4 linked regions of the Notamacropus eugenii genome follow. Each later gene encodes a partner of the first gene's protein in a complex. Links are inferred from orthologs where the notes say so. Each region holds a gene or a part of one and is shown in the gene's direction. Other genes may lie near its edges. The genes, in order: YWHAG, HDAC4, CASP2 and CAMKK2.

What was found.
Region 2: the proteins of YWHAG (region 1) and HDAC4 are in contact, whole or in part, in a crystal structure (PDB 3UZD), measured with the Homo sapiens proteins. The link is inferred for Notamacropus eugenii from reciprocal best matches to the Homo sapiens genes YWHAG and HDAC4. Residues at the interface, in NP_036611.2 of Homo sapiens: Asn43, Leu44, Ser46, Val47, Lys50, Asn51, Arg57, Phe122, Lys125, Arg132, Tyr133, Gly174, Leu177, Asn178, Val181, Glu185, Leu221, Ile222, Leu225, Asn229, Trp233; in NP_001365345.1 of Homo sapiens: Ser348, Pro349, Ser350, Leu351, Pro352, Asn353, Ile354, Leu356.
Region 3: the proteins of YWHAG (region 1) and CASP2 are in contact, whole or in part, in a crystal structure (PDB 6S9K), measured with the Homo sapiens proteins. The link is inferred for Notamacropus eugenii from reciprocal best matches to the Homo sapiens genes YWHAG and CASP2. Residues at the interface, in NP_036611.2 of Homo sapiens: Glu15, Asn43, Val47, Arg57, Arg61, Lys125, Arg132, Tyr133, Pro170, Gly174, Leu177, Asn178, Val181, Glu185, Glu213, Asp214, Lys217, Asp218, Leu221, Ile222, Leu225, Asn229, Leu232, Trp233; in NP_116764.2 of Homo sapiens: Asp137, Leu138, Ser139, Leu140, Pro141, Phe142, Pro143, Val144, Cys145, Glu146, Leu150, Lys152, Lys153, Leu154, Ser157.
Region 4: the proteins of YWHAG (region 1) and CAMKK2 are in contact, whole or in part, in a crystal structure (PDB 6Y6B), measured with the Homo sapiens proteins. The link is inferred for Notamacropus eugenii from reciprocal best matches to the Homo sapiens genes YWHAG and CAMKK2. Residues at the interface, in NP_036611.2 of Homo sapiens: Ser46, Val47, Lys50, Asn51, Arg57, Arg132, Tyr133, Gly174, Leu177, Asn178, Val181, Glu185, Ile222, Leu225, Asn229, Trp233; in NP_001257414.1 of Homo sapiens: Leu99, Ser100, Leu101, Gln102, Glu103, Arg104.

What each region holds. Positions count from the first base shown.
Region 1 is NC_092873.1:51,333,317-51,341,291, reverse strand, and holds the start of YWHAG (14-3-3 protein gamma), read left to right. Parts: upstream 1-4,960; 5' UTR 4,961-5,248; coding exon 5,249-5,335; intron 5,336-7,975. UniProt on the Homo sapiens protein: Adapter protein implicated in the regulation of a large spectrum of both general and specialized signaling pathways. Binds to a large number of partners, usually by recognition of a phosphoserine or phosphothreonine motif.
Region 2 is NC_092873.1:67,091,879-67,099,816, reverse strand, and holds the start of HDAC4 (histone deacetylase 4), read left to right. Parts: upstream 1-4,930; 5' UTR 4,931-5,205; intron 5,206-7,938. UniProt on the Homo sapiens protein: Responsible for the deacetylation of lysine residues on the N-terminal part of the core histones (H2A, H2B, H3 and H4).
Region 3 is NC_092874.1:105,043,437-105,050,339, reverse strand, and holds the start of CASP2 (caspase-2), read left to right. Parts: upstream 1-3,899; 5' UTR 3,900-3,963; coding exon 3,964-4,037; intron 4,038-4,051; exon of another isoform or gene 4,052-4,384; coding exon of another isoform or gene 4,385-4,471; intron 4,472-4,799; exon of another isoform or gene 4,800-4,903; intron 4,904-6,903. Other genes in the region: TMEM139 (transmembrane protein 139), read left to right, coding at 1-124. UniProt on the Homo sapiens protein: Is a regulator of the cascade of caspases responsible for apoptosis execution. Might function by either activating some proteins required for cell death or inactivating proteins necessary for cell survival.
Region 4 is NC_092875.1:36,536,027-36,543,676, reverse strand, and holds the start of CAMKK2 (calcium/calmodulin-dependent protein kinase kinase 2), read left to right. Parts: upstream 1-4,650; 5' UTR 4,651-4,794; intron 4,795-7,650. UniProt on the Homo sapiens protein: Calcium/calmodulin-dependent protein kinase belonging to a proposed calcium-triggered signaling cascade involved in a number of cellular processes. Isoform 1, isoform 2 and isoform 3 phosphorylate CAMK1 and CAMK4. Isoform 3 phosphorylates CAMK1D.

The sequences.
Region 1 (7,975 bases):
AAGAGAATAAAGTAAAAAGTGCACAGTAGAGAACAAAGAAAACCAACAAGAAGGCAAAGAAAAACTGGGCAGCTTTGAAAACAAAATGTAGTATTTATTATATAGGTTTTCTTGAAATATAAATTTATTGTTTTATATTGACACCTCTTTCATGGTCTGCTGTGTACATGGCAATGTTTTTTTTTCTGTTTTTATTTTGTATTTACGTTTAAAATTTTTAAAAATTTACAGAGAGGGAGAGAGAGAGAGAGAGAGAGAGAGAGAGAGAGAGAGAGAGAGAGAGAGAATAATGTTTGATCATGTACTTAAGAAAGGAAATCCAAAGCAGGAAAGGCAGTCAGAGGTTCAGGTAGAAGCTTTTCTATTTGGTACCATGCTCCAATGTGGGAATGGTCAAAGGTTTGGGGGTGGAGGAAGAGACCTCCTATCCTCCTACCTCCTTACAGGAAACCTAGCTACAGACCTATTTGCCATATGGGAGTTAGTTTTTAATTGACACAACCATCCATGCCCATTCTGTTGTCAAAGGTAGGGGAAGGACCAAGGGACCTCTGAAGATTTGATATGAGATGTTAAAGTGCCAAATTCTTTCACTGCTGAGTCACACATACATAATCATATCAATAATAATAACGGCTGGTATTTATATGGCATTTTAAGGATCTGCAAAGTGCTTTAATATGTTAAATCATTTGATCCTCAAAACAACCCTGTAAGGTGGTCTTATCACCACCACCACCACCACCACCATCATCATCATCATCTCACAGACAAGGAAAGTGAGGAATAAGGTTAAGTGATTTGCCCAGGGTCACACAACCAGTAAGTGTCTGAGGAAGGATTTGAATTCTAGTCTTCTTGACTGCACGTCCCTAATTACTTTATCACCTAGTTGCTTCTGGCCCCATGTGATTGGCCATAAACAGTCCAGGAATCCCTGAATATTCTGTGAAATCCCTGTTACATGAACTCTGAAGGCAGAAGATGGGATGCTGTGAACAGAGAACAGCAAGTTGTCTGGTTTGGCTAAAATGTAACCCATGAGGGGGAATAAAGTGGGATCAAGGGTCTCTAAGTGGTTCAGTGGAGAGAGCACCAGGTCTGGAGTCAGGAAGACCTGAGTTCAAATTTGACCTCAGATACTTATTAGCTGAGTGACCCTGGGCAAGTCACTTCACCCTGTTTGTCTCAGTTTCCTCACCTGTCAAATGAACTGGAGAAGGAAACGGCAAACCACTCCAGTATCTTTGCCAAGAAAACCCCAAACGGCTTCATGAAGAATTTTCTCAACTGAAAGTGACTAAAACATAATCAGCCTAGAAAGATAGGTTGGACCCAAGCTATCATCAGGCTAGAGTGACAAAGAAGGAATTTTAATTTCATCTTAAACACAATGGGGATGCCCTGAAGCTTCTTGAGTCAGGGTGCCACATTCTATTTCTAGCCCTGAAAAGAAAAAAAAAGATGAATGAGACAAAGTCCCTGTCCTCAAACAGCTTATAATCAGGCGGGACTTCTTCCTCTTCCTCCTCAGGAAATGTGTGTGTGCTAGCCACACTGGATAGGAAAAACCGGAAACCTGCCTTAGTAATGGTCAGCTACTGGAACTGGAAGGACTAGGAGGGACATGAGAATATTGTTTCCAGGTGAAATGTATGGAACTTTATATAGTAGTAGCCCAATGTAAACATGGTAGCCAGGCCCAGAAACCTTTGGACAGCCAGATAGAAATAAGCAAACACAAGATGGCAGAACAAGGGCATATACTTTTTAGGCTAAAAAGGCCTGCCTGGAATTTTCTGTGTATTTCTTTGAATATGTTTAATATTGCAGTAAGTTTGAACTAAGAGCAGGACTGGTTTTTGTCTTTTTAAATTTTTAAAAAAATATTCCCACTACTTAGCACAGGTCTTGGCCCACAGTAGGTGGTTCATAAATGTTTGTAGACTTGACCTAGCTGGGGAGGTAGGAGAAACCTTTCACCCAGCTAAACTGTTTTCTGGATGTTCCTTCCTCACCAGACCTCTATCCTTAATCATCTACATGAACAGAAGGGGTTTGGAGTTGAAAAAAAGACCAGGGAACTCCAAACCCTAGAGCATTTACTTATCTACTTTTCCTCCTCTAGAAAACTAGGGGGTTGGGCTTCATAACCTCTAAGGTCCCTTCCCGCTCTAAATCTATGACTCTATTATGTATTCTTCCAGGGAAATGCAAGCTCCTTAAAGAGAGGGATTAATTGGTTTTTTTCTGTAGCCCTATACGGTAGACATTAGTAAACGTGTGTTAACATTATTCATTGAACTGAGGTCTTAGAAACAGGCCTCCTGGTCCTCTTCAGGACTGTGTGATAGTTTGGTCTTGTGGATAGTTTGGTCGTGTGTGTGTGTGTGTGTGTGTGTGTGTGTGTGTGTGTGTGTGTGTGTGTGTACCCTCATTTGAATTCCCAGGAGGCCCATAAAGTCCCAGGAGGACTACATAAGGATTGGAATACTGAGGGCTTAAGAGTCATGCACACAGTTTTTACTGTTCTCTTAGGAAAGTTGCAATGTAGGGCAGTTGGTCATGCCTGTTTCCTTTTTGCCTCAAGTAGTTTCATTTTGTTGATGAATCACAGTTCACTTCCCATTTATACCAAGGTAGAGAGAAGTGAGGAGCAGCCCTCTGTGGCCCTGTCATCCAGGCCCCTCCTTCCTTCCTACTGAGAGCCAGGTTGTTAGCTAGATGCTCTCCCTGGGCATGAGATCACCATCCTATCGATTGTTCCAGCTGGACGCGACCTTCATTTTGTAGTGGGAGAAAGCCAGGCCCCCAAAGCATAAGTGATTCACCCCGGGTCACACAGTGACAGATATCAATCAAGAGCAGGAATCTCCATACTCTATGTCCAGGACTCTTTCCAAATGACCATGAGGCCAGAGTCCATGACCTGTGATGGAGAGAAATGTTGATTCATTCCAGAAGACAGGCACTGGACTTCTGATTTCATTAAAATCTATAGTGAGGAAACTCTGTCAATGAAAGCCAGAACCTTCTCTGCAACCTCTAAATTTAGAGAGTTGTCTGCAGCCCTTAGAAATCAAATGACTTGCCCAGGGTGACATAGCCTGTGTTAGAGTCAGGACTTGTACTCAGTTCTTTGTGACTCTCTGTGCATTGTGTACCCAACCAAAACCAGACTATGTCCTTAATGGAGGAAAGTGTTAGAATGTTCATGGACAGCTTTGTTGAGGAGTAGGGATGGACCTTAGCATTTTATTCTGTTCAGGCCATTTCAATCCAATTCAACAAGCATTTATTAGGCACCACAAGCAACAAATTGGTAAAATATACATTAAGCATTTTACTATGTACCAGGCGCTGTGCTAAGCACAATAAATATAAAGAAAGGCAAAAACTCAGGCTTTCCAGGAGGGACAGGAGGAGACAGCAGGCAAGCAACTGTGTGCTGGCCACACTGTATAGGAAAAACCGAAAATCTTCCTTAGTAATGGTCAGCTACTGGAACTGGAAGGGCTAGGAGGGACATGAGAATATTGTTTCCAGGTGAAATGTATGGAACTTTATATAGTAGCTCAATGTAAAAATGGTAGCCAGATCGATCCATCGATCTATCTAATATTGGTCCGTATTTATTAGGATATATGTCTATTGAGATCTGTCCATATCTGGATATATCTATCTTGTATCTATCTAGATACACACCTATGTCTATCAAGGCCGTTAGATATTTCATATATCTATCTTGCAAACAACACACAATGAAGGCATCTCTATCTGCAGATTGCATATCTATAGATATGTAAGGCTATCTGCATCTGTAGATTGTATCTCTATAGATAATAGAAAGATCTCATTTGGTCTCACTTGGTCCCAGCCAGGTTAAACTGGATTTAATCTCACTGGAGGCAGGTGGAAGGGGGTGATGAGCTGGGTGCTGAAGGAAGGACTCGCGAGAGTCCAGGACACCGGGATGGGGTGGAGGAACATCCCAGGCTCCAGGTGCAGGGGACGGAGAGAAGGGACTAGGGGTCTGGGTTGTCCAGGGTCCTACTGGGGATCCCAGTGCCTGCCCTCAGGGGCCTTCCACTCACTCTCCCGGGGATCACCATAATAGCTAAGTGGGAGGACACCGATCCAGGAGGGTGGACGGTTCTTGGGCTGAGCCCCGAAGGGCCTGGGGATCGGAGGGGGAGGGGAACAAGAGGAGGGGGGCAGTTAAGGAAGTTCGGTCCCAGGTTGTGGGGGGTTTTTACAGGCCAGCAGAAGATATTGGATTTGATCCCAGGGGTAGTAGGGAGCCACTGGAGCTTACTGAGCAGGAGGGTGACAAGGAAAAGAGCGCCCACCCCCACCCCCCATTCAACCAGGGTCAACATCCCTAGAGAACAGGATTGGGAGGAGGAAGGGAGGGAGGTGCGCAGGCCCGGGCCGGGCTGGGCTGGGAAGGGGGGAAGGGCGGGGCTGGGCAGAGAAGGAGAGGGCGGAGCCTCCGGAGGCAGTGAATCAGCATTCCGTCTGGGTGACGCATGGCACGCCGCGCCCTCCCTCCCCCACTCCTCCATGGTTGCGAGTACAACCCGGGGAGAGGGGCGCGCCCAAGGTGGCGCTCCCACCCCCACCCCCGCCCCCTGTGGCTCAGGCTCTCTCCCCCAAGTCCCTCCCTCCTTGTGTAAGTGCCCTGCTGCTAAAAGCCCCACTCTCCTCGGCCTCTCCCCTCCTTCAAAGACCGAGGGATTTCCGCGCAAAGCCTCCTGGGAAGTGTAGTCTTCCCTTCGTCAGCCCAGACGTTATCAGAGGATCTCGCTCCCCGTGGACAGAACTACACGTCCCAGGGGTCCTCGCGACGAGGCGGTGACGGGAGAGGACGAGGAGAGGGCCGAGGAGGCGGAGGGGGGAAGGGGGTCGTGGGGCGGGGCCTCGAGCTGACGTCAGGACCGTGGGCGTGGCCGGAGGGGGTTGTTCTCCCGCGGCACGCGCAGCAGCCGCAGCCGCCTCGCGCCGGGTTCCTCCTTTGCAGCACGAGCCTCAGCAGCAGCAGCAGCAGGAGGAGCAGCAGCAGCAGGAGCAGCAGCAGCAGCAGGAGCCGGAGCCCGAGCAGCCTCTGCCGCCGCCGTCCCGCGGACGTGATTGGTCGGCCTGCCGCCCGGGCTTGAGCCGTCGCCGCCGCCTCTGCCGCGCGCGCCTTCCCCGCCGCCGCCCGCAGCCCCGCAGCCCCGCAGGAGCCGGCCCGAGCCGCCCCGCGAAGATGGTGGACCGCGAGCAACTGGTGCAGAAAGCCCGGCTGGCCGAGCAGGCGGAGCGCTACGACGATATGGCCGCGGCCATGAAGAACGTGAGTGCCCCCTCCCTCTGTCGCGACAGTGCCCGGGCGGCCCGAGAGCCTTGTCGCGATAGGCCCCCCCCCCCCCCGGCCTCGTGTCGCGACAGGGCGGATGGCTGGCGTGAGGCCTCCATCCCCATCCTTTACACTGCTGGGCTGCCAGATGGGGGGGGGGTCACCCTTTGTGCCCTCCCTGCAGTGTGGGGGGCGTTGGGAGTAGGTGGGGTGGGGCTGGGGGGGGCGCCGCGTCCATGCGGTCGCTCTTTGGAGGTTCCTCTTTCTCTGTCTGTCTGGGCGGCGCCTCTCCCATTCACTCGCCAGCCTGCGCCTGCTTTCTCCTTTCTGCTCCCCCCACCCCTCCCTCCCCTCCCCCCACCCCGGAGGAATTCAGGAAGGGGGAGTCGGGGTGGGGGGCAGAAAAATCCCTGGGTCAGTTAAAAAAAAACCCAGTCCTTCCGAGATCGCCGTGCGTGGCTCTTATTTGCTCAGTTTCTTCTTTAAAAATGCCCCCACCTCCTTCCCCTTCCTTCTTCCTGCCTTCGGGGAGGAGGGATGGGGGCTGGGGGGGGAGTATTTTACCGTTTTATCATTTTCTTTTCATTGTCTCGAACGTATCTCCGTTTTTTTTTCCCTCTCAGACTTGTCAATTGAAACATGCGGTATTTCCCCTTAAAATAAAGGTTATGCATCAAGCCTAGTGGTTCAATTTGTGACATTTGCTGTTTCTTTTCTAAATGCAGGCATACATCTATTGAAATCCTTATAAGTTAAAAAAAAATCATCTCTCTGATCTGATCTTGCAAACAAAGCGATCGTGGGAGGCAGTATCAAGTCATTCCAGAAGATTCTGCATTTGTCATATTGCAGAGAGGCTAGACTGGGTGGAGGGAGGGAGGGGTTGCTTTAAAGGGGGAAAATGTTTTTTTATTTGTTTCGTGACACAGGTCTGAGCTCTTTTTTTCTCCTTTTAATAAAGAAAAGGCTGGAGTGTCCCCTCCTGCTGATGAAAAGGAAATGCTGATCTTGAAATGTCGCAGCCTGTCTGGTGCACAGATGTCTGCCTCTATTGCAGCATTTTTTCAGTAACCTTACATTTATCAGAGGGGCAACATGTCAGCATGCTCGAGAACGGGGGAGGGAGGGAGGCAGGGTTGGAACGGGACCAAAGGAACCCTGGAAATGGCAGGATCTGATGGATGACTTGAGTGCCTCCGTTCTAATATTTGGCAGGCTCTTTTCAGGTATCCTTGACAAATAGATAACAAAGGTATACAGTTATATAACTAAGGTATTAAAAATACACCAATTAAAAACTGGATGACTGAATAAGCCAAGTATATAGGATAAATCCTCCTTAATTGGAAGATCCCATGTATTATCATGATTTCAGTCACACCTATGTAAGTTGAACTGGATCATTAAAGTAGGCCATGCTGAAACGTTTTATGTTTAGACATTTAAAAAGAGTATTAGGAGGGTAGGAGCTCCCTGCTAGAATTATATTACAATTGAGGGTAGATGCTCTATCTAGCCTGTATTTCAACATAATATCGGTACCATTGATAGCTTTTAACCTTTCATTCAAACCTCAGTTTCTTCTTTTTGCAGTATATTAGCCTGGGCATTTTAACAGGCCTTGATCTTAAATGGATTTGTCTTGACTGCTGTCTTCCGAATCTTCTAATTCTTCCTCATTTGCAGTTTTTCAGGAAAGCTTATGACCTCGCACTCATTGCCTTAGCAACATGGTGATGTCACACATAATGGCACCGAGGCTGCAATGCGCCCGGGTGGTAGGGAGTGTTCGAATGGCCCATGGCCAAGGTAATGCAGAAATGTGATATAATACAAGAGCCGAGTGGGACTGAAAATTTTATTGTATATACCCTGCTGGAGAAAATGATATTTGTGATAGGATGAAGGGTTGTTCCACTGTCCGGAATATTTTTACCATATCACTTTGCCTTTAGACATACTAATCAGTGACCTCCAGATGTACATTGGGGCTGATCATCTTTCTATCTTTAATGTCACATCTAGCCATTCTGTAGGATGACAAACAGTGGAACACAAAGAACAATTGGTAAGCAGCTAATATTTGAATTTCTTGGTATGTTTACACTACACTTGGATTCAGCTTTAAACAAAAACTTAAAGTTCTCCTAAAAATGAACTTTCTTGAACAAATAGGTGAGTTTATTACCTGTACTTTGGCCTAGTCGTAGAGCTCATTAATCAAATCACAGGATTTGGACTTGAATTAAGGGGAGTGTTTTTATGAAAAGTATTCACAAGGTATATAGTAGATTCAGCAGCAGCCTCGAAAGGGCCTTAGGAAGACCAGGGTTCAAATCTCACCTCCTTAGAGGAGTGTGGCAGCTTGATGGCTCAGTGGGTAGAGAGCCAGGGCTAGAACCCGAGTTCAAATTCCATCTTAGACACAAATGGTGGCTATGTAAACTTACAGTTAGCAAACAGGGAACTTGTCAGCACACTTTAGAATGGGGGAGGGAAACATGGAACTTCTAGGACTAAAGGAAACTAGGAAATGCCATGATTCCCCGTGTAAGTCGCTTAACCTCTTGCCTCAGTTTCCTCATTTGTAACATGAGGATGAAAATAGCACCTACCTTCCAAAGTTGGCACAAAAAT
Region 2 (7,938 bases), about 16 Mb from region 1:
TCCTTTTTCCAACCTTTCAAAGGCCTCCAGGTCTTTCTTTTTCCAACCCTCCTTCATTTAAAATCAGAAAAGAGTCGGGCAAGAAGAGCCAAGACAGAGGTCCACAACGGTGAGAGACTTCCTGCTCCCAGCTGGCAGCATCTCATTCCCTGGAGAACTCACCAGATCCTGCTTCTCTGTGGGAGTCTTTTTCTATGCTCTCTCTTTTCTGGTACAATGGCCGGTTAATAGCAATGACCATCAGCACCATCACAATAGCCAACATTTATTAAGCACCTACTGTGTGCCAGGCACTGAGCTCAGCACTGGTGACATAAGAAAAGGCAAGCACAGTTCCAGCCCCCCAGGGACTCACTGTGTAATGAGGAGACTGGGAGTAGGCCACCTGGTACCTATGAGACATCTCAGCTAGGAAGGCTTAGGGGAAGGGGGTGGGGCAAGAGAAAGTGTGGGACTCTAAGACATTTGTCAGCTTGTCAATAAACAATGATTAAGCACTTACCAAGTACCCACCACTTGGTAAGCCCTGGGGATATAGTCACTGGACAGTCCCTGCCCACCAGGAGTTCACAGTGGAATGGAGGAGGCCACAGGCAACAAATGCCCACAAAACAGGATTATTAGGAAGTACCTGCCAGAGGGAAAGTGCTGGAATTTGGGAGAAAGCTGGGGCTAATATTTGTAAAGGGCTATGTCAATGCTACTCCTTATCTAGCCTGAAGAAGAGAGGCCCTGGGAAAGTATTTAAAAAGCTAGAGTGTGGACGAGATTTTAGGACACCACTGCAGGATCACTGACTGAAAGCTGGCAGGGTCCAATTTAGGAGAACTTGATTAAGGGCCTACATCACACAGGGAGTAAATCGGGAATCTGGGGCTCCACTCTCAAGGTTGGGACTCTGACCTTGACAGCCTAGGCCCACTCTTTTGCATAGCAGAGGCCAGAGCTAGCTCAGCAGGAGAGGTAAAGACCCTTCCCAACAAGGAAATCTGGTGGGAGCTGGGGGGAGTCAGTGTCTGAAGGGAGGCCTCCTGTCGCTGGGAACTTTCTAGTTGAGGCTGGATGCCACTTGTTGGGCGTGTAGGAGAATGGTTTTCTGTTAAGGTCTGGGTTGGATTGGACAGATTCTGTCTAGAGTGTTCCCCTACCCTTATGCTGACTCAATTTTACTGCTGAAGACCTAGAAAGGAAGATTTGTGACCTAGGTTGTGTCTTGTTTCTGAATATTCAAGTCTCTTCAAAGTAGAGGATGCCCCTGGCTGACTTACTCTTCCTCTAATGCCTGGACTCAGGGAGGGCAGCCTTTCCAGCACAGAGAGGACACACAGAGAGGCTGACCATGACAATCCAGAGAGGAGCAAGAGGCCCCCCAAAGCTGAGAAGCAAAGTCCCTATATTTCACCTCATTTCAACGTTCTCAATAACTGATGACGCCATAAGTTCACAGCTCCAGGACTGGGCAACACCTGGGAGGACATTGAGTCCTAGGAAACTGAGGTTCAGAGAAGTGAGGTCACCTGCCCAGGGTCACCATCAAGGAAGCCTTAAGTGCACAATTTGAATCCAAGATCTTAACACAGAATACCACTCTGCCTCTCGAATGTGGGACAAGCTGACTGTACACAAGTAGACTTCAGGCCTTGTTAATTAAAAAAGCCATGTTAATTCTGAAGGGCCTCCAACCTTGGATGGGCCTAGCCTTCTCGACAATTCTGTGAATCATCCTGCATAGAGCAGGTTTGTGGATGACACAAATCTGAGTTCCTGATACACTGAGCTCAGTGGGGTATGCTGTGGGCTTCTGAGCACCTGAAAGGTTGGGTCATGGAGGAGGAATTCATGTGATTTTGCTTGGCCACAGAGGGTTGATGTGCCCCAGTCTCAGGAAGGCCTTCTGAGGGCGAAGGACTCCACAAAGAAGCCAAGTCATGGCTTGGCCTAGGTGTATGTCTTCTTGGTCTGTCAACCAGGAATTATTCCTTCAGGGCTTGGAGGAGGGACTTGTTAGATCTGGAGGGTCCCATCAAACCCTAATTTAATGACTGAGCAAGAATAGTAAAGCCAGACTCAAACAAAGCCCTATTAGATGGTGAGCTCCTTGAGGACAGGGACTGTTTTGGGGGCCTTTCTTTGTAATCCCAGAATTTACAGTACAGTGCCTAACAACTGTGGGTACTTAAACAATGCTTGTTGATGACTACAAGCCTACCTATGAGGATTCATTTCAGAGTGCAGAGGCGGTATCTAGCAGCAGCAGAGACCTTTCCTTAAGCAATGGAGGAAGGGAGGGTGACTGATCCTCAGGAGCAGCCCAAACCTCTAGAGTGGAGGGATGGAGACCTTGGCTGTCTGAAGCACAGTGATGCTCTCAAGTGGCAGGCTGGCAGGGTGGAATTTCATTGTCATCACTATCCCTGGTGATCCCCTCACTTCTTATCCATTCATTCTAACTCCATGTTTTATATCTGAAGTCTCAAGTGTTGCCCCTTGAATGTGAGATGCCTTAGAAGGTCCCCGGGAGCTTGGGAGAGGGACTGATGTTGGGAGACATGGAAGCCTGGGAGTTATCTGTATTGAGCAGATCACGGAACCCTTGGGAGCTGAAAAGTCACCAAGAGACAGAGGGGAGTATTGAGAGAAAGGGGCCCAGGAACAATTCTCGGAGTACCCATCCACTCTGCTTCCCAGAAAAGATTCAGAGATTACAATCCACAGTGGCACTCTCAGCTGGGCTGGGAGTGTGGACTCAAGCCTGACCTGGAGGAGACTACCAGAATGTCACAGAAGGCAATTAAAATATTCATGAACCCAGGGCAAAAGTGTGTCTCTGTCCTCATCTCACTCTGGAAAGAATGCTGGATTTGAAGTGAACGCTAATTTTCTGTGTGACCCTGGATAATTCACTTCCTGGCTTGGTGCCTCAGTTTCCAAATATGTAGAATGGAGACAACAGCAGGTGCAGGCAGGGTATCAGTAAGATAGGCATTTGACCAAACTACACCAATTTAAACTGTTGTTGTCATAGAGAGTATCTGACTGGAGAATCCATTATGAAGAAACTGGTGGAAACTCCCTGCAGGCAGGGCTTATCCTTTTCATCTGGGTATCCAAGGGGCTTTGCCGTGTATGGCACAGAGGAGCTATGTAGTCCAGGCTTCTGGCTTCCTCCAGCATTCCTCAGAAGCTCAGAATTCAGCAGAATTTGGAAGAGGCCTTCAAGACCCCCTCCCCCCAATCTTCAGGACAAATGGTCACCAGTCTAATATTCCAGGTCTCCAGGGAGGGGGCCCATGGCACCAAAGCCCTCTCAGGCATCGAGTTTCCCCAGATCTCATGGGCCCAAGGCCTCAGTTGGTCTCAATTCTGCTTTCAGGAGCTGGGCCGGACAGGCCTCATCCCTGTCCTGCTGGATGGTCGGAGGGCAAGAGGACAACTGCCTCCCCAGCGGCCAAGGCTGCAACTCTTAATCCAGTTCAAGTTGCAGGTTGCTTTTTGGCCGAATTTCCCCAGGCATCTCTGGTTGTGGAGTCAAAGACCTTGGTTCCTCTGCTTCAGCCCACAAGATCTCAGTTCCTCTTTCCAGGCCATACATCTCCAGCCTCCAAGCCTTTCCTCAGGCTGAGACCTCTGCCTGGAGTGCCCTCCCTTCAAGCCTCACCTTTTCTTGGAAACCCTTCCTAACCCTCCCCGTGGGTATCTAATTTGCATACAGGTGACTGAAGCTTCTGCCTATTGGAGGGGGGGATCCTGGGGGCAGGGCTGGCCTTGGTCTCTCTTTGCATCTGCACTGAGCACACAGTAGGTGCTTAATAAATTTTGGAGCCTGAGCGGTGCTTTTGATGGGCTGCACTGTGTGACCTTGGATAAGTCCCTTTCCTCCTCCGGGGGCCTGCCATGCCCCACCTGGACGTTATCGGAGGTCCTTCAAAGCCTCTGCAGCTGGGGGGAGCCTCGGTTTCCTTCCGTGTAAATCGGGGCGCCGGCCTAGGGGGGCTCGAAAATCCCCCAGGCGCAGGGTCACGCACAGGGTCACGCAGGGGCGTGCCCAGTCCGACCCCGAGACTTCTAGGATTCTCGGACCTGGCGCCGCTGTGTGACCTCGGGCAAGTCCAGCACCCTCTCTGGGCCGGGGCAGGAGCAGCTGAGCGAGGAGGAGAGGCTGGGCGAGACCCCAGAAGGGGGCGCTCCTGCGTCCCAGGGCCGGGCCGCGCTTGCGCACTGGGCAGCGCCCGTCCACTAGCCCGCCCGACTTCCCCCTTACCCACTCACCCTCCCTCCCCGCCCCGTGCAAACGCAAGGGGGGGGGGGGGGGCCGCGCGCATGGCCGAGCCACGTGACCCGCAGGCTCTGCCCCAAGATGGCGGCCGCGGCCGGTTTAACGGTTCCCCGAGCTCGAGCTCCTGGTCCGTTGGGCCCCTTCGCCCCGCCCTCCTGCGCCCGCTCCGGGTGTGGGTCCAGTCTCTAGGCCAGTCCGACGTGCCCTGTCCCGCTTTTCCTGCGCGCGCGCGCCCCCTCACCCTGGCTCCGCGGGTCGGCTCTAAGAGGCGGGGCCGGCGCGCAGCGCTATTGACGGGCAGCCGCCGTAGCCAATCGGCTCCCGAACGTGCCTCTCCGGGGCGGGGTTAACCGGCGCTCCGTTTTCGCGTCGGGTCCTTCGGCTTTCGGGAGAGGGGCGGGAGCGACCTGGGTGGTGCCCCCCTTCCTCGAGCCGACCAATGGGAGGGAGGAGAGGTGCCCTTGGAGGGGCGGGGCCGAACCGTAATTGACGAGCGCTTCCTTAGGAGTCCGGGAGGAGGGAGGGCGGCGAGGGGGTGGTGACGCAAGCCCAGGTACACCAATAGGTGGCGGGCTGCGGGCGGCGGGGGCGGAGCCGTGGCCACTGATGGACAGCGCGGGCGGCCTATGGACGAGCGGCGTGGTGGGGGGGGCCTGAGCCTCCTGGTTCAACGTGGGTCAATTTTTTGTGAATGAGGAGGGAGGTTGTGGGGCCGCCGTCGCCGCCGTGGTGGGGAGCGAGCCAGTGCCCGAGAGCCCCAGCCCCGCCACCGCTGCCGCCTCCGCAGCCCGGCCCGGCCCGCTCCGAGCCCGGAGCCGCCGCCGCCGCCGCCGCTCCGAGCGCCGCCCCGGGCCCGGCCCGCCCGGGGAGATGCGGCCCCAGAGGGAGGCGATGCCCGAGCCGCGGCCGCCGCCCCGGAGCCCGCCCCGGTAAGTGCAGGGCAGCCGCCCGGGCCATTGTCCGCCTCCGCCCGGTGCCCACGCCGACCCGGGCCCCGCGCTGCCGTCCCTCCCTCGAGACAGACAGACAGACAGACAGGCAGACGGACTGACGGAGCCCGGCCCGGGACACAGACCTCCCCCTCCCCCAGCCCCCGGTTCTCTGCCCCCCTCCCCCAGGCGCGGGTCCCCACTTGTCATCCCCCTGCCCCCTCCCCCAGCACCGTGCCTGTCATCTCCGCCCCCCAGCTGCGTCTCCCCCCGGGCTTCCAGCGGGGCTCGGCCAGCTCCCCCAGCCCCTGCCTCCCCGCCCGGCCCGGCTCGTTCCAGGGCGCCGCTGCTGCGCCAGCAGGTTGGAGAGCATCCTGCTGGGGGGGGGAGAAGGGGGAGGCGGCCCCAGACCCCCACCCAGCCCCCCCGCCGCGCTTCGAGCAGAACGGCCGATCTCCTGGGGAACCCCCTCCCCGATGGGGATCGGTGACCCCAGCGCTGGTGTGGGATTTGGGGACCCCCCCAGTCCAGCGCCAGCCCACCCCTCTCGTAACGTCTGGAGTCTGGGGGCTGCGGGGCTGCTGAGTCCCAGCCTGAAGCCCTGGGCAGATTGAGGACAGAGATAGGTGCCTGGCTGCCTGGCGTGGGCTCCCCGAACCGGTTTGGTTTGGCGTGTGTGTGTGTGTGTGTGTGTGTGTGTGTGTGTGTGTGTGTTGGGCGTGGGGTGGGGGGGGCGTGGGGGGGGCGCTGAGCAAGGAGCTTGCGAATGGGGAGGCCTCGCCACTCGCGCCCAGCCCCAGACTGCAGAGGAGTGAGCGCCTGGCTGGAGCAGGACTGACCCATCCTCCAGGGGAGGGCTGAGCAGCGGGGACCCCACGGGCTTGGATGCGTCTCGGGTGTGTGTGGGGGGCAATGGGGAGGGGAGCTAAGCCCACAGTAAGAAACTGCAGTTCTGAGGCTTCATTTTGTCAGAATGGAAAAAAGGAGCGACCGCTGGCTGAAGTCGCTGCAGCGGAATCCATCCCTGTGCCAGGGCCGGGATCCGCTGTAGGGGGCCTGGAGATCATGCAGCTGGACCTCTCCTTGCCCGGGAAACTGAGGGCTGGGGCTTGAAGCAGCTCAGATCCCTCCCAGCCAGGAAGGAGGGTTGGGCTGCCTAGCAGGCCTGGGTGGCTTTCATTCGGAATGGTTTTCTCAGCCTAGGGATGTTGCTGGGTTATATTATCAGAACTCCTCTGGCATTGCAAAAACACAACATGAAATGAGAGGCAACTTATCTTTTATTTCCTCTGTACGCAGACTGATTGGCCACTGGAATAGCTGGAGACCTTCTGTGTGCCCCAGAAGGGCCTGTCTCGGAAGGAAGGCCCATCAACAATTTCTAATAACTTCTCTCTCTGATTAGGAAGGTTCCTTTTATTGGGTGGCTGGAAATTGACCTGCTGTGACACAATTTTCAAATAAAGCTTTGTAGAAATTAAACTTAAGTTATTTTAAACTAATGACTTTCTTAACTAAATCTTAATTGCATGACTACAGAGACCAGCCTAATTGCCTAATGAAAAAAATGCCTGCTGGTTCTAGGTAGGGAGTGTGTCTCTGTCAGCATCACCGTTACCGGTGGTGGTGATGGCTGGGCTGGAGGCTCAATCTCCTCTGCTTGCCCCTCCGATGGCCTTTCTGGTCCTACCACAAGTCCCCCGAAAGCATCTGAAAGCCTAGTGCCTTTAAAGAAAACAGGCTGGGCAGAAGTAAACAAACAAACCGACCAGACTGCCAGCCAGCCCTGCCTGTCAGCCTAGCCTCCCCCACCCCCTTTTGTAATAGGATCGGGCCCAGGCGGTTGCCTGGAGTTTTAATTGTTTCTGATAATTCCCTGCCTTATTTTAGGGGCTTTAGATTCAAAGCCGCTGTTGTGGTTTCTGAGCCTCAAACTTAATGGGGGTGTGTGTGGGGGGGTGGGATGGAATGAAGAAAACTCAGCTGCATGTGTGCAAATAGTCACCGCGGCAATTACGAGGCAACAAAAGTTATGGCAGCATTTTGCGGTAGCTATGGCAACACGTTTACGCGATTATAATTGGAAATGCAAAATGCCACCCAGTCAGAACTTTTGGCAGTTGTAGATTTGGGGGTAGGCTAAAGCTGGAAGTAGGCCTTTCTCTCTCTTCTCCTCCCAGGCGCCAGAGGGGCCCCCCAAAAAGAACATCAAGGTCTCTATCCTTTTCTCTTTATTAGACTTTCTGAAAGTTCTGTGATACATCATATGCATAACATCCCTCTAAATTGGTGGCACCGGAGAGCTCAAATATGTGTGGGAGGGAAGGAAGTATTTTCATGCCTTCGATTTTTTTCTTTTTAAAGACTTGGATCTCTGTTCTAGGCTTTTGTTTTAAAGATCAGATCCTTTCCCCAAAGTGAGCATCCACGAACCAGGACACTTGGGGTGGGGGTGAGGGTGTCTGGCTTCTTCTGCCAGCTCTGCCCTTGTTACCTTGCTTGGGGTCTCCCCGCCACTACCACTTGCTGGCCTTACTTCACCCCCTCTGTCAAGTTAAGGGTGTGTGCTGAGTGCCCTCCAAAGGCTGGGAGGAGAGATCCCAGCAGGATCTCTGGCTATAAGCTTGGCCTAGCAGGCCATTACCCTCTTTCTGATTCATCCTCCTTCTCTAGCTAGGTGAAAACCTATTGAGGCAGATGAGGGGGTGCTCTGGTGGAGGGTGGAAGGCCCAG
Region 3 (6,903 bases), on another chromosome or scaffold:
CCCACTGCAAAGTCTGCCACCTTTGGAACCTCTCACCCCACCCCCAGCATATGAGTTCAGACCTAATTACCAAGATATCAATGATGATGATGTATTCTATGAAGAGGGCTGGATGCCTCCCTAAAGCTGTGTTCCCTGAACATAAAAGATTTCCCCATTAGTGATCTTCTTTACCTGGATATCCTGAGCAGGCATTGGTACCTGGCAAGAGGAAGAGGCCATCAAGGTGCAATTCCTCTCCCAGACATATGATATGACTGGCACCTCTATTTTGTGTCCATGCTTTGTGCCCACAGTGACAGGGTCTAAATGGCTTCCCCATTTTAATCCTGTAATGACGGGGGTGGACTGGTAAAACCACAGAGAAGGGGAAATGGGGGGTTTCTGTGTTGCTCTTGCCATCCTAATTTCACAAGAAGATGGAGGAACTGTATTTAAAAACCCAACTCTTATCACTAGTTGTAACCTTGGACAAGTCACTCAATAACCAAACTTTGAAGTTAAAGAGACTATAGAGGTAAGCTAGTCTGACTTTATCTGAGTAGGAATCCTTTCTCTGACATTCCTGGCAAGAAGTCATTCAACCTCTCCTTGAGGACTTCCAGTGAAGGGGAATCCACCACCTCCTGAAGCAGCCTTTTCCACTTTGGAACAGTTCTTATGGTTTACAAAGTTCTTCCTCCCACTGAGCCAAAAACTGCCTCTCTCAAACTTCCACCTATTGTTTCTTGCTTTGCTTTGTAGCCAATCAGAGTCTAATTCCTCCTCCTTATAACCCAATCACAGACTAGCTTGCCATCATGTTCTCTCTCCCTGAGTCTTTTTTTCCCCAGACTAAACACTATTTATTTCTTCAGTTGATACTCATTTAGAATGTTCTCCCATCTTCTCATCATTGCTATTTATTCTTTGCACCGTTTGTCAAAAGACAGTCGTAAAATCTTGTCCTCAGAACTGAACATAATACTCCGGATGTGAATTAAGCAGGGTGTTCTGACCTCCCTACTTCTATTCATTTAATCTAAGTTTTCATTAACTTTCCTGACTTTTGTGTCACACTGTTGACTCATAGAATTTATTAACTTCTAGGACCTCTACATTTTTTTTATACACAATCCTAACTTCTTCCTTATTTGATTTTTTTGTACTCATGAGTAGAACTCTATATTTAACCCTATTAAATGTCATCTTATTAAATTCAGCTCTAGCCTCAACCTCAAAAGCCTTAGATTCCTCATTCTTAAAATCAGAATAACAGTTGTGTCAACAAATTCAAAATGTTGTCAAGATCAAATAAGGAAACCTATAAAGTGCTTTGTAAAGTGCAACAATTCATGATTTAATTATTTTGCTGTCCTCCCACTCAATCAATCAAATATTTAATAACTGACTACTATGTAGCACTGTACTAGGCACTGATGATACAAGTATCAGGTTCAAAACACTCCCTCCTTACAAGGAGTTTATTAATGAAGAGAGTATATATAAAAATACGTACAGCATAAAGTTAACAAATGTATATATACATAACATACATACACATGTAACATAATATACATGTGTGTAAATACAGATGTATGTATATATAGATATAGCTGTACACACACATACATTAGAAAAATACAAGGTAATTTGGAAAGGAGGGCACTAACAGTTGGGAGTATCAGGAAAGATTTCGTGAAGAAGATGATGCCTGAGATACTTAAAGGAAAAAGAAGAATTATGAGGTATGGGTAAATGGGGAATACATTCCAAGCATGGGGAACAGCCAGTGATAAGGCACAGAGAAGTGAGTGACATGGAGCGTTGTGAGTGAGAAACAGAGAAGCCTGGTTTCACCTCCTCATGAGCACAGAAAGGGGAGTAATATGTTGATATTAAGGAGATGTGTTGCCATTATAGAGATGCTGCAGAGGTAGAAATGGTTAAGATTTGGCAAATGCTTGGATATTTGGGGTAAAAAGATGTTAGGAGTCCAGGATAGTGCTGAGATTATGAACCTGAAATATTGGAAGGATGGTGGTATCTGACAGAAATAGGGAACTCATCTGATGATGAGTATATATCTGAATTTAGGTGAAAGGAAACTGCTAATTGCTACATAGGTATGAACAATTATTATTGTTATTCGTATTATTTCCAGGGAGAGTTCTGTTAAGGTCCTGGCCAGGTAAACTTGGTTCAGGAATTAGAAGATCCATAAGACCTTTACTGTGGGGATCAAGAAGCCAAGCCAAAGCACAGCATTTTGTATCCAAAAGAGCACCTGACTGGGAGTGAGGAAACCTGGATTCTAATCCAGACTCTGGCACCAATTTGATATTAGGCAAGTTAATTGAATGAATGAACAAAGCTTTCATGAAGTATTTACTAGTACAAAGCACTTTGCTCAGTTCTGGGGATACAAATTTTTAGAAAAAGAGAGAGAATCCCTGCTTTCAAGGAATTCACATTCTAATGAGAAAAACAGCATATATGAAAGAGTCTAGCTGCAAATACAAAAGATGGAAAAGTCCCAAGGTCCTCAAGGGTACAGCAGTAGCAAAGCAGATACTTCTTCTCTAATGTCACTATAAAATGTTATCAATTTCTGATGCTGAACCATTTGACAGTGCCAAGGACTTTGAGGACAAAAACTTTCTTTTCTGGATGACTGTAGTACCTGTAGGCCAGGTTGCCTCTCCCTAGATGCTGGACGAGGGTACTGGGTTGGAAGCATTTCTATCCCTAAGTCTCTTGGGTTCAGGGTCCTGGGCTGTCCGACCATCTCTGCCCTGTGTGAGCCCTGGAATTGATTGGCAGGACCCCTCTCTTGCAGATGATGGCTGGCAGGGCTGGGCTGGAAGCAGGCAGGACCAGCGGGCTGGGAGGTGTGGCCAATCTCAGAGCTTCTGTGCCTATCTGATTATGGTTGCTGGTGGTGATGAGGAAGGTGGGCCCTCCCTTCACTAAGATTTTTCAGCGATGGCTGTGAAGGGTGGGTAGAAAGTAGGTCTGATGGTTCGGGGCACACTCCTGGGCTCAGGGTGCCGGGCTGTCTCCCTCTGCTACCCTCTGTCTGTCCTCCTAACGAGTCAAATTGTTTTTCTGTTTCAAGTTACATAACCCTCTTCTAACTCGAGGCGAGTGGGAGGCAGATAAATGTTTAACGACCGACTCTCCAAAATCACAACAAAATTTAAATCTGAACAATTAACAAAACAATAAATCAAGCCCTTATTTGTCATGTTTGCACATTTCTGGGGTTTAAAGGATCACACTGAAAATTAAATAAACGGCTTTCAACACACCCTGGAACTTCATTCTTTCTTTGGTTGCCCTGAGATCGGAAATGAGATAAGGGCCTGCTCGGCCATTAAAACAGCCCAGGGACCCGGTAGCCCAGGAACCTGGATTCAAGGTCAAGGTCTGCTACTTTTGAACCGGCATGACCTTGGGTCAATCAAAGCTGTCTCTGAGCCTCAGTTTCCACCTCGGGAAAGTGAGAGTGGAGGGGGGGGAGTGAGGTTCTAGGAGTTCATTAAGCCTACTTCCGCTGGCTGTTACTTTAAAAAAAAAAAGGGTTGTTTAAAGGAAGGGAGGTGGTGGGTGGGGTCTTAGAATGGGCGGGCAAATACGTCAGTTTCCGCGGGAATCTACGACCAATCCAATCCCGACGTGGGGAGCGAGCACGTCGTCTCCGTCTTTCCCCGCCTCTTCTGCATCTTCTTCCGGGGGGAGGTCGAAAGCTCCGGAGCGGGGAGCTCTGCGCCTGCGCACGCCTCCCCGTGGCGGCTAGAGTGCTGTAGCTAAAGGTTTGGTCCCGGGACTGAGGTGGAAATGGCCGCGCGCAGGCGCGTTCAGCATCGCGAAGGAGGAGGGAGGAGCTAAAGAAAGCGTCGGGGGCGGGAGCGTGGGACCCGAGGGGGCGTTTCATTTGTTTGTGGAGTGGGCGGCTCTCGCCCGGGCTGAGAAAGGCGGGAAATGGCGGAGGCGCGCGCAGGAGCCCGCCCAGGCCTCGGCCGAAGGGGGTCGACGGCTGTGGACGGGGGGCGCAGGTGAGTGGAGCCCGCGTCAGTCCGAGCAGCCCGGGCAGCCCGAGTCGGGCCTGCTTCTCCAGGCCCGGCGGGGAACCCCGAACCTTGGCCGCGGCTCGCTGCCGGAGGGGCCTGACCCCCGACCCCTGACCCCCAACCCAGGGGGCGCCGACCCCTTCCCCACGGGAGGGCCTGATGCCCGCTAAGGGCGGAGAAAGCCCCTCCTGGGAACCAGCTACCACCTTCCCTTTCCCGTAGGCAGGAAACAGGCATTTGTTAAGCGTCTACTAGGTGCGGTGAGCTGTGCAGACGGTCCCATTGATATCCCCGGGAGGAAGGGAGGGACTCTTATTGGCTCCGTTTTACAGATGAGGAAACTGAGTCAGACTTCCATCCGCTCACATCCTTCGGGACAGTTGCAGGTGTTTGAGGCCCGGGGTCCAGCGCCTCGTAGGGTAAGCTCGGGAGGTGGGGGAGTAGTGGGCACCCACCCCTAGCTCGGCCCCTACCTGCCAGCGAGCTCCCAGGCCCGGGCGTGGTGAGGGAACACATCAGCGCTCCCAGCCTCCTTCGGGGAGGGGGCGGGGTCTGAGCCCCCTGAATCCCCCGGTACCGAAGGAAAAATTGAGAGGGACCTGTAAAAGGCAGGGACTCCTAACCTGGCTGTGGGGGGAGGAAGGGGAGGGTGTCATGGATCTCTTAGACCCAGAATAATGCCACAAAATACAGTGTTGCAAAGGAAACCAGTTCTATTGAAATGCAATTATTTAAATATTTTTAAAGGAAAAAAAATAATTCATGCACCAGCCCCCACCTTGCAAGTCATAAACCCCTGGACTGAGGCTTGGATCAGATGGCCTCTGAGTTTCCCGTGCTCTATTACCAACGTAATTGTTTTTTTTTTACATATTTGTTTATACTTAAAAGGGTTCCAGGCCATTCATTTTGCCTGGAAGAGCAAAAGAAAGAAGATATCCCTGAATTAAAATCGAATAATTAGTGTTGCGTTTCTTTATATATCCCAGTCATTTGTTTTAAATTTTTTTATATCTTTTGTTTTTATGTCCACTTCTTTTCTGAATATCAGTTCACTTTTAGTATATCTAAATGGCAGTTGACACTTTCCTGTCCACTGTGCTAAACAATGGAAGGTCAAAACTTTGGATTTAAATACTGGGTCTGTTACTTTTGCCTGGGTGACCAGGAACAGATAATTTCATCTCTCCAGGACTAGATGGCTTTAAAGGCCATTCCACTTCTAAACCTGAGCAAACCATGAATTGCCTAGTTCTTGAGAGATTTAGTGTGTAGCTAAATGGATGGTATAGAAAATAAGTTCCTGCTCCCTCCCTTAGTTCTACAAGCATTATAATTTTGTGATTCTGAGAGTTAAAGGATTACAAAGAAAGGTATAATCACTGTAGGCCAAGTTGGAGTTTTCACTGAGGAGGTTGGCCTCCAGTCAAGAAATGTTGAGTGTACCCACCATGAGTGGAACACACTCTAGTATTTGGTAGTGGTATGAAGACTAATAAGATTTGATTCCTGCCCTTGAGGGATTTATGGCCTAGGACAGGAAAGCTTCCACTGGGGCTTTAAGGAGAATAAAATTAGAGCAATGCAGAGGGGATTCCAAATATGGGACTGTCAGATTAGAGTTTTCATGGTACTTTTTCCTCACCTTTTGGTACCCCTCTTCATATGCTTTTATACCCTCCCACACATTTGTCTTACCAGTTTATCCATATCTCTGAACTAGACCCTTGGCTACATTTGTCAACTTGTTACCAGTTTACTCTCACTTTCTATTAATAAATGGCATTATGTTGTCTTCCCATATAACAGACTTTCATTTTAAGAGTCCTTTTGAGAATAAGTTGGCAGGTCTTTGGTCGAGCTGTTCTGGGGTAGATAAGTTACCTGTTACAGTCTCCTTTTCCCAAATTGATACAGTAGTATTCAGGTGTTAGGAAATTATTATGTTCCCTCAAGATAAATGGTTTAACATTCCAAGTCAGTGTGAGTAATTGTGGAAAACCTACATTTTCAAATGTCTGTCTACTCTAGAACTTCAAGTTACTTTGAGGATGATGATGAATAATGTTCGTTCTGTGCAAAATTTCTTTTGCAGAAGTGACTTGTTTGTGTGATTTTTTTTCCTGAAAATATTGATAATTTTTGAGATGTTAGTATTATTGCCTTCCAAGTAAAATTATCTTTAGTTATCCTGATACCTTACCTGTACACAATTTTTTGCATATTGTCTCTCCCCTCTTAAGCTGTTTGCAGTATCAATGAGACCCATAGAACTGAGACATCTGTTTTTCTATAATATCATGGCCTTATCACTTAGTAACATTGATTTACTACTTCCTGTCACAGTCTTTTCCTGTCACCCTCTTGCCAGATTCTGACAGTTACTGCAATGTCATTTCCCATTGAGATTGAGTTCTTTTTAACCCAGTTAAAGTTTCATCAGCTTAATTAGACCAGAGATACTGTTTTCACTTAAAAACAGTTTTCATCATGAAATTGTGTAGACTGTGTCTAAAGTTGCTGTATTTTCTTACTAGGCTCATTTTAAACAAATCTGTTGCCAATCTCAGTCAATGATGTCCGTTAGATTTAAGATTTTCCTCTCTTTGCAGAATCCTTTGAAGAAACTGATTTCTCTAAACCCTGAGACCTCACCCAGCCATATATACACCTCTATCAAACTGCATTGTATATGCAGACCTTGAAGTGTGTAAGAAGGAGTTGTATTCTGGGGTAACAGATTTCTTTAAAAGGCCATGTCTATATTTTCTTTATAGACATAATAAAAACAGAATAAAATATATACAAAACTGAGGCTTTGTTAGTCCCATCCCTCTGTTATTCCTCCACC
Region 4 (7,650 bases), on another chromosome or scaffold:
CGTATATATTATTTTAGTAATGTCTTTCAGGTTTGCAGAGCTCTCTCTCTCACTCTCCTCAATCCTTCATAATCTGGCTTGGGACCCCATCACTCATCTGAAAACTTCCAGCCCTGAAATGACCAGTTATTATTTTTTGATAATTTATTTTTCACTTTTTTTCTTTTGAGATTCTGGGTTCCCAATTCTCTCCCTCTCCCACCCTTCCCATACCCACAGAGAAGGCAAGCAATACAATATCAATTATACATGTGAAACCATTCAAAATATATTTCCATATAAACTCTATTTTAAAAAAAGCAAGAAAAATAAGGAAGTGAGAAAATTATATTTCAGTTTACCCTCAGAGTTCATCAGTTCTCTCTCTGGAGGTGGATAGCATTTTTTCATCATGAATCCTTCCAAATTGTCCTGGATCATTGTACTGCTCAGAGTAGCCAAGTCTTTCACAATTGATCATTATTGCAACCTTGTTGTTACTGTACACAATGAGCTCTCAATTCTTCTCACTTCCAGTTGCATCAATTTATACAAGTCTTGCTATGTATTTTCTGAACCTCCCCCTGCCCCTTATCATTTCCCACAGCACAACAGTTCTCCATTCCAATCATACACCACATCTTCGTCAGCCATTCCCCAATGGGTGGGCATCCCCTCAATTTCCAATTCCTTGCCACCACAAAAAGAGCTGCTATAAATATTTTTATACATGTGGGTCCTTTTCCTACTTCTTTGATCTCTCTGGGATACGGACCTAGTAGTGATATTGCTGGATCGAAGAGTATGCAGTTTTATAGCCCTTTGGGCATAGTTCCAAGTTGTTCTCCAGAATGGTTGGATCAGTTCACTAGTCCACCAATAGTTCATTAGTGTTCCAGTTTTTCCCACTTTCCCTCCAGCAGTTGTCATTTCTGATAGGTGTAAGTAAACACTTGTACCTCAGAGTGGTTTTAATTTGCATTTCTCTAATCTGTAATGATTTAGAGCAGGGGTGGGGAACTCGGAGCCTTAAAGTGGATCAAAAATCAATAGGATTTGTTTGGTAAAATTTGTATTCAGTCAAAGAGCTACAATTAAATATTTAGAAGGCCACATGTGGCCTTAAGGCAGGTTTCCCACCCCTGATTTAGAGCATTTTTTTGTATGACTATAGATAGCTTTGATTTCTTCTTCTGAAAACTCCCTGTTTATATCCTTTGGCCATTTATCAATTCAGGAACAGCACTTTTTTTTAAAACATTTTTCTCTAATTAGATGAAAAAATAATTTTTAACATTTAAAAAATTTTTTTGAATTCCAAATTCTCTCCCTCCTCCTCCAAGATGGTAGGTAACCTGATATAGATTATACATGAATGATACTTATTTTTATAAATTTTACTCAGTACTATATTCATAATATATTTGAGAAATGAGGTCTTTATCAGAGAAACTTACTGCAAAAAATTTAATATTACTTCATTGTCAAGAGTACCTTTTAGCAAAACATAGTTTCCCTGATTATCCCTTGTAACTAGATATGCTTTTGCTTTTGCTTTGTCTGAGGTCAGGATTACAACCCCTGACTTTTTTTTTTTTTTTAGTTCAGCTGAAGCATATTAGATTCTGCTTTAGCCCATTATTTTAACTCTGTCTTTCTGTTTCAAGTATGTCTCTTGCAAACAACATATTGTTGGATTATGGTTTCTTATCCATTTTTATCTACTTTATTTTTTATCTTCCATTTTATGGTTGCGCTCATCCCATTCACATTCACAATTAGGATGACTACTTGTGTATTTCCTCCATCCCATTTTCTTCTGTTTCTTCTTTTCTGTCTTTTTATCTTTTTTATCATCAGAAGTCTATTTTGCTTCTCCCTTAGTCTGCTCTCCCTTTTATCATCTCCTGTCCCCCTTTATCTCATTCTCTTCCCATCTTTGAACCAATTCTGATGACAATGAGGTTCAAGCATTGCCTGCCATTTTCTCTTCCACTGTAGTAGCTCTTTCTGGTGCACCTTTTCAGGTGAGAAATTTTTCCCCATTCTACCTTTCTCTGCCTCCTTTTCCTAGTGCATCTCTCTCATCCCTTCATTTTTTTTGGAGCTCATAATCGACTCACTTCTATACTGTCTATGTAAACTCCTTTTAATTACCCTAATAATGATAAAGTACATATATTATCTTCCTGTATAGGAATGTAAAGAGTTAAACTTTATTGAGTCCCTTATGATTTCTCTTTCATGTTTACTTATTTATTCTCATTTTCTCTTTGAATGTCAAATTTTCTACTCAGCTCTGGTCTTTTCATCAGGAATGCTTGAAAGTCCTCTATTTCATTAAATATCCATTCCCCCCCCCCCCCCAAGGATTATATTCAGTTTTACTGTGGTTGTAATCCTATCTCCTTTGCCTTCTGGAATATCATATTCCAAGCCATCCACTCCTTTAATATGGAAGCTGCTAAATGTTGTTATCCTGACTGTGGCTCCACGGTATTCGACTCTTTGAAGTATTTTTCTCCTTGATCTGGGAGATCTGGAATTTGGCTATAATATTCCCGGGAGTTTTCATTTTGGGATCTCTTTCAGGAGGTGCCTGGTGCATTCTTTCCATTTCTATTTTACCCTCTAGTTTTAGAATATCAGGGCAGTTTTCCTTGATACTTTTTAGCCACTGGAGTTTATTGAGTGTGTGTATGCATGTGTGTGTGTGAGACAGGCACAGAACTCATCTTTTCCCTCAAACTGTCCCCTCAATAGCCAACAATAGTCAATAAACATTTATTAATGTTTAACTACAATTAACTACAATGTGGCAGTCATTGTGCTAAGGGCTGGGGCTACAAATAGCCCCCCCCCCAAAAGTCTCTGCCTTCAAGGAGTTTACAGTCTCATGGGAGAAGATCATATCCTAAAGGAAACTGAAAAGTGAGAAGAGGTAAGTAAGGTTGGAGGGAGGGTCAAAGAAGTCCTAAAGGAGAGCAACCAGGTGGGAAATGAGGTGCTTGTGCTGAGTTCTTTATTAATTGGAGATTTTGGAGTTCATGGCTCTACCCTCCAATAAGTGGGGCAAAAGGTTGTTGCCTTACCCCATTAGATAGGAAGCGCCTTGAGAAAGCAGGGATTGTCTTTCTTTTTTCGTATTTGTACCCCAGTGGGGGGACATGTAGGTGGGTACAGTGGGTAGTAGGGCACCAGGCCTGGAGTCGGGAAGACCTGAGTTCAAATGCAGACACTGAGTTCAAATCAGACACTGAACCAGCTGTGTGACCCTCGGCAAGTCACTTCACCCTGTTCGCCTCAGTTTCCTCATCTGTCTAATGAGCGGGAAAAGGCAAAGGCAAGTGACTTTAGTCTCTTTGCCAAGAAAACTTCAAATGGGGTCATGGACAGTCAGACACGACTAAGCTACGACAATTCCTAGTGGGAAGGCTGAGGGGTGACTACCAAGGCTTTCTACCAAACTTTGCTACTTCTGTGGAAGCCACCCTCAGTCTCCCAACGAGCCAGGTTCCTTACCTAGGTATTATGCTCCACTTCTCATTCACCTTCGTGCTGACACACGCAATCAGAGGCCAGGTCTTGCCTTTTCTTTTACCTCCCACTGCGTCTCTCTACCCACGGAGCTACCACCTTAGTTCACGGCCTCAACACCTAGACTACCGCAGCAGCCTCCGAAAAGGCATCTCCCCACTCCAGTTCCTTCCACGCCGCTGCCAAAGTAATCTGCCTTTGGACTGACCACCCGACTCGTCCACTTAACACCGGTGACTTCCTGTTTCTAGGCTGAAATAGAAAGCTTTCTGTTTAGCTTTCAGAGTCCTTCCCCACGTGACCTGAGCTGGTCTTTCTCGGCCGGCTTGTACCTAGGGATGAGAAAGGGGGGCTTCCCGGAGCTTTCCCAGCCTCGGGGCTGGCTCCCAAGGATGGGGATGCTTGGTATGGGATAACTCCCTTTCTCCTCCAATGGGCGTCTAACTTCGCCTACTTACTAGCCACTCCCGGGCACTCCTGCCCAGTTAAGTTCTGGCTGCTAGGCAGAAGTGAGGAACAGCATCCCGGAGGCTGGAGCTCTTTGCCTCGGTTTCCCCGGATTTCCCCCTCCCCACTGCTTCCTAGCAGTGGCTCCCACATTTCCCTGAAGCAGTTTGCAAGCGTCCCATTTGGTGGGGATCTGTGTGTGTGTGTGTGTGTGTGTGTGTGTGTGTGTGGCATCTGTTTTCTTCTTTCTAAGTGGGAGGTGGCCCGCGGGACAGGAAAAGCAGAGGTATTACGGGCGGGGTGGTGGTGGGGGCTGGGGATCTGGGTTCTCGGCTCTGTCCGCTGGGTGAACTTGGCGCGAGCGGCTTCCCCGGATTTGCCCAATGAGACTAATGCCCTCGAGCCAGCGGGCAGGTGGCAGATCGCTGGAGAGAGGCGCCCAGGCGGGAGAGGGAGGGTGGCACCGTCCGTCCCCGCCATCCATCCCTCACATCCTCCCGGGCCCTCCCCGTCCTGTGGCCGCGGGCCCCGAGAAGCCAATGGGGAGCCGGCGTACAGCGGCGCACATCTGGGCCACTGAGCTGGGCGCCGGGCGGCCAATCCCCGGACCCGGCGGCTCGTTCCTCCTCCTCCTCCACCTCCTCCTCCTCGTCCTCCTCCCTCCCTGGCGCGGAGAGGCCGGGTTGCAGCCAATCGGCGCCGCCGCCCGCGCCGGCCCGGCCACCCCAGCCCCGCCAGCCAGAAGCCCGGCCGCCGCCGCAGCGGCAGCCCCAGCCCCGGGGCGCAGGACCCCGGACAGCCCCGCCAGCCGCGCGTGGGACCCAGCGCCGGGTGAGGACGGGAGGGCTCCCAGCGCACGGGGAGGGGCCGGGGCGGGGGGCAGCCAGCTCGGGGTGGTCCCTGTCCTTCCCGGAGGGATGCTCGGAGCCCGAGCCGGCGCAGACAAAGGGGTGAGGCCCGAGAGGGCCGAGGTGGGGCGCCTCCACGTGGGGGCCCCCACCCCGTGCTCGGTCACGGTCACGGCCGAGGGGGCAGCCGGCTGGAGCTGCGGCGCTCCGCGACGCCGGGGGTGGGGAGGCAGGGTGGGTAGAGGTGCCCGCCGCCCTAAGTTCGCCAGGCCCCCGGTGGCCCCGCCGACTCTGGTCGTTCAAGGTCCATCCCTCCCCGCCTCGGCCTCAGCCCCTCCCTCCAGTGCGTACCCAGGCTTGGCCAGCAGGGGTCCCGGGTCCTGGGCAGCCCGGGAGTCTGGCCAGGGGACAGCCCGCCTGCCTACCTCCCGCTGGTATCACTTCCTGAACAGCGGGGCTGGGACCCAGCACCCAGAACCCAGGGGCACAGGCACGGCGAAGCAGGAGCCCTCTGTCCTGAGCCCTGGCCTCTCCCCATTTGGAGTCGAGGGCACCTCCGAACCGGCCCTACTGGCCAGGATGTTCCCCTTCACTGACAGTTTGTTTTAAAAGCTCAGATGCCACCCTGCCATGGGGAGAAGGACCTTTTCTTGAAGGCTCTAAGATAGCCAGGCAACTTCCCGAGCCAGTCCTGATAGTGGGGCAGAGGTTTGGGATCGGGTCCATCTTTTGTCAGCCCCTCCCGGCTCCCTCCCCGGTGTCCTGGGCCCTGGAAGCCTTTCCTAGTTTCTCCCCCTCCCGCCCCCTTCTGTCCTCATCTTAGCAGCTGGGTGTTTTCACAGTTCCACCAACTTCCTCGCGGTTCTCACCTGTCTCCCGGCCAGCCACACCTCCTGCTTCTGTCTCTCTTTCCTAGCCTCAGGCCCCCACCAAAGTCAAGAGAGGTGGGCGCTTTAGGTCAGACGCTCAATAGAAGGCAGAGGTACAGCCCTGAAGCCTCGGTTCCCTCCTTTATATATAATGGATAGATGGGTCTTGGAAAAACAGAATGTTTAGCCATTCACCTCCTGGATACCGAACTTTCCCCTCCTGGCTATCTCACTTGTTTCTAGGGATGCTGGAGGAGAGCTGGGTAGACAAAAGAAATGTTCCTAGAGGGTGGACTGGGTGGGGGTGGAATATCCCTTTTCCCATGGAACTGTTATTTTACTTTGGACATTCCTCATCTTAGGTGGGAAGGCACTCAATGACTGGGTCAGAGTCCTTGCCCCATCATTCTTTTTGCCTAATTTGGGAAGGTAAATTTACTTACTTATTAGTTATCAAGGTGATCTACAGACCGTTTAGGGGTGGGCGGGGAGGGATCTAAAGGTGAGCCTCAATCTCAGGGAATTTACCCTCTAGATGGAAGGCATACAAGTGCAGTATTTTAATACTTAGGGTTCTAGAGATGCCTTATGAGGGTGGAGAAGGTGATGCAGGGGAGTAGAGTGGGCTCTGGGCCTTGGAGGCAAAGGCCCTGAGTTTCAGCCCTAGGTCCATTGCTAGCTGTCAGTCACCTTGTCACTTAAATATACTAAGTCACTTAAGTATGCTAAGCTAGTTTTCTTCATCTCTTTTTGGATACTTTTAAGGGTCTGTGAGATCCTGAGTATGGTTCTGGCGTGGATTTAAATCCTTCCTTTCCTTCTTGGGTGACTCTTGTCTGTGTTCCCTGCTCTGGAGACCTTAGGGTCATAGACACGGAGATTTAATGCTGGAAAGGGGTTCAAGCCCTTCCTTTTGGAAGTGAGGAAACATTTTTTTCTCCTGGTGCTGCTCTGGTTTCTCTTTTTCTTTCTTCTCATCTGTAAAATGAAGGCAATTAAACTTGTAGCTCTGGGCTTGTGGTGGGGGAAGTGCTTTGGATTAGCGTGTGGTGCTGTCACTTTCTGACTTCTCTGCCCACACAGCCACCATCCTAGTTAAGGCTCCCATTACCACGCTAGCGCAGTGGCCTCCTCACTAGTCTGCCTGCCTTCGCTCTCTTTCCTTTCCAGTCGAGGCCCAAGCCAGACTGTGAAGGTCTTTAGATGCCAAATGGAGGAGTTTGAATTTGGTCCTAGAGGAAATAGGGAGTCACTGGAGTTTCTTGGGCAGGGATAGACCATGGTTAGACCTGTGTTTAGTGAGACCTCTTAAGTGGTACTTATGTGGTACTCTCTCCTGTCCATTATCCCTGTTTAGCATTAATAGTAATTATGCTAACGATAATAGCTAGCATTTATACAAGAGCAGCTAGATGACACAGTGGTTAGAGCACTGGACCTGGAGTCAGGAAGACTCCTCTTCCTGAGTTCAAATCCAGCCTCAGACACTTACTAGCTTGATGACCCTGGGCAAGTCACTTCACCCTCTTTGCCTCAGTTTCCTCATCTGTAAAATGAGCTGCCAAAGGAAATGGCAGGTCACTGTAGTGTATCTGCCAAGAAAACCCCAAATGGGGTCATGAAGAGTCAGACATGACTGAAAAATGACAACAAAAACAAACATTTTTGTCGTGTTTTACATATGTTATTTCATTGGGTTCTCATAATAATCCTGTGAGCTACATACTGTTAATATATCTGTTTCACAGATGAGGAAACTGAGACTGAGAAAAGTTAAGTGACTTGCCCAGGGTCAAACAGATAGTATTTATTCTTAATCTTCTTTTCACATCTTCCCCCTCCCCTGTCAACTGGAATCCCTAATATCCTTCAAATCTCAGCTTGTCTCACCTCCTGCATGAGGCCTGTCCATAATTTCCTCCCACCCCAAATTACTCTGTATTATTGACTTTCCTGTACATATTCGCCCC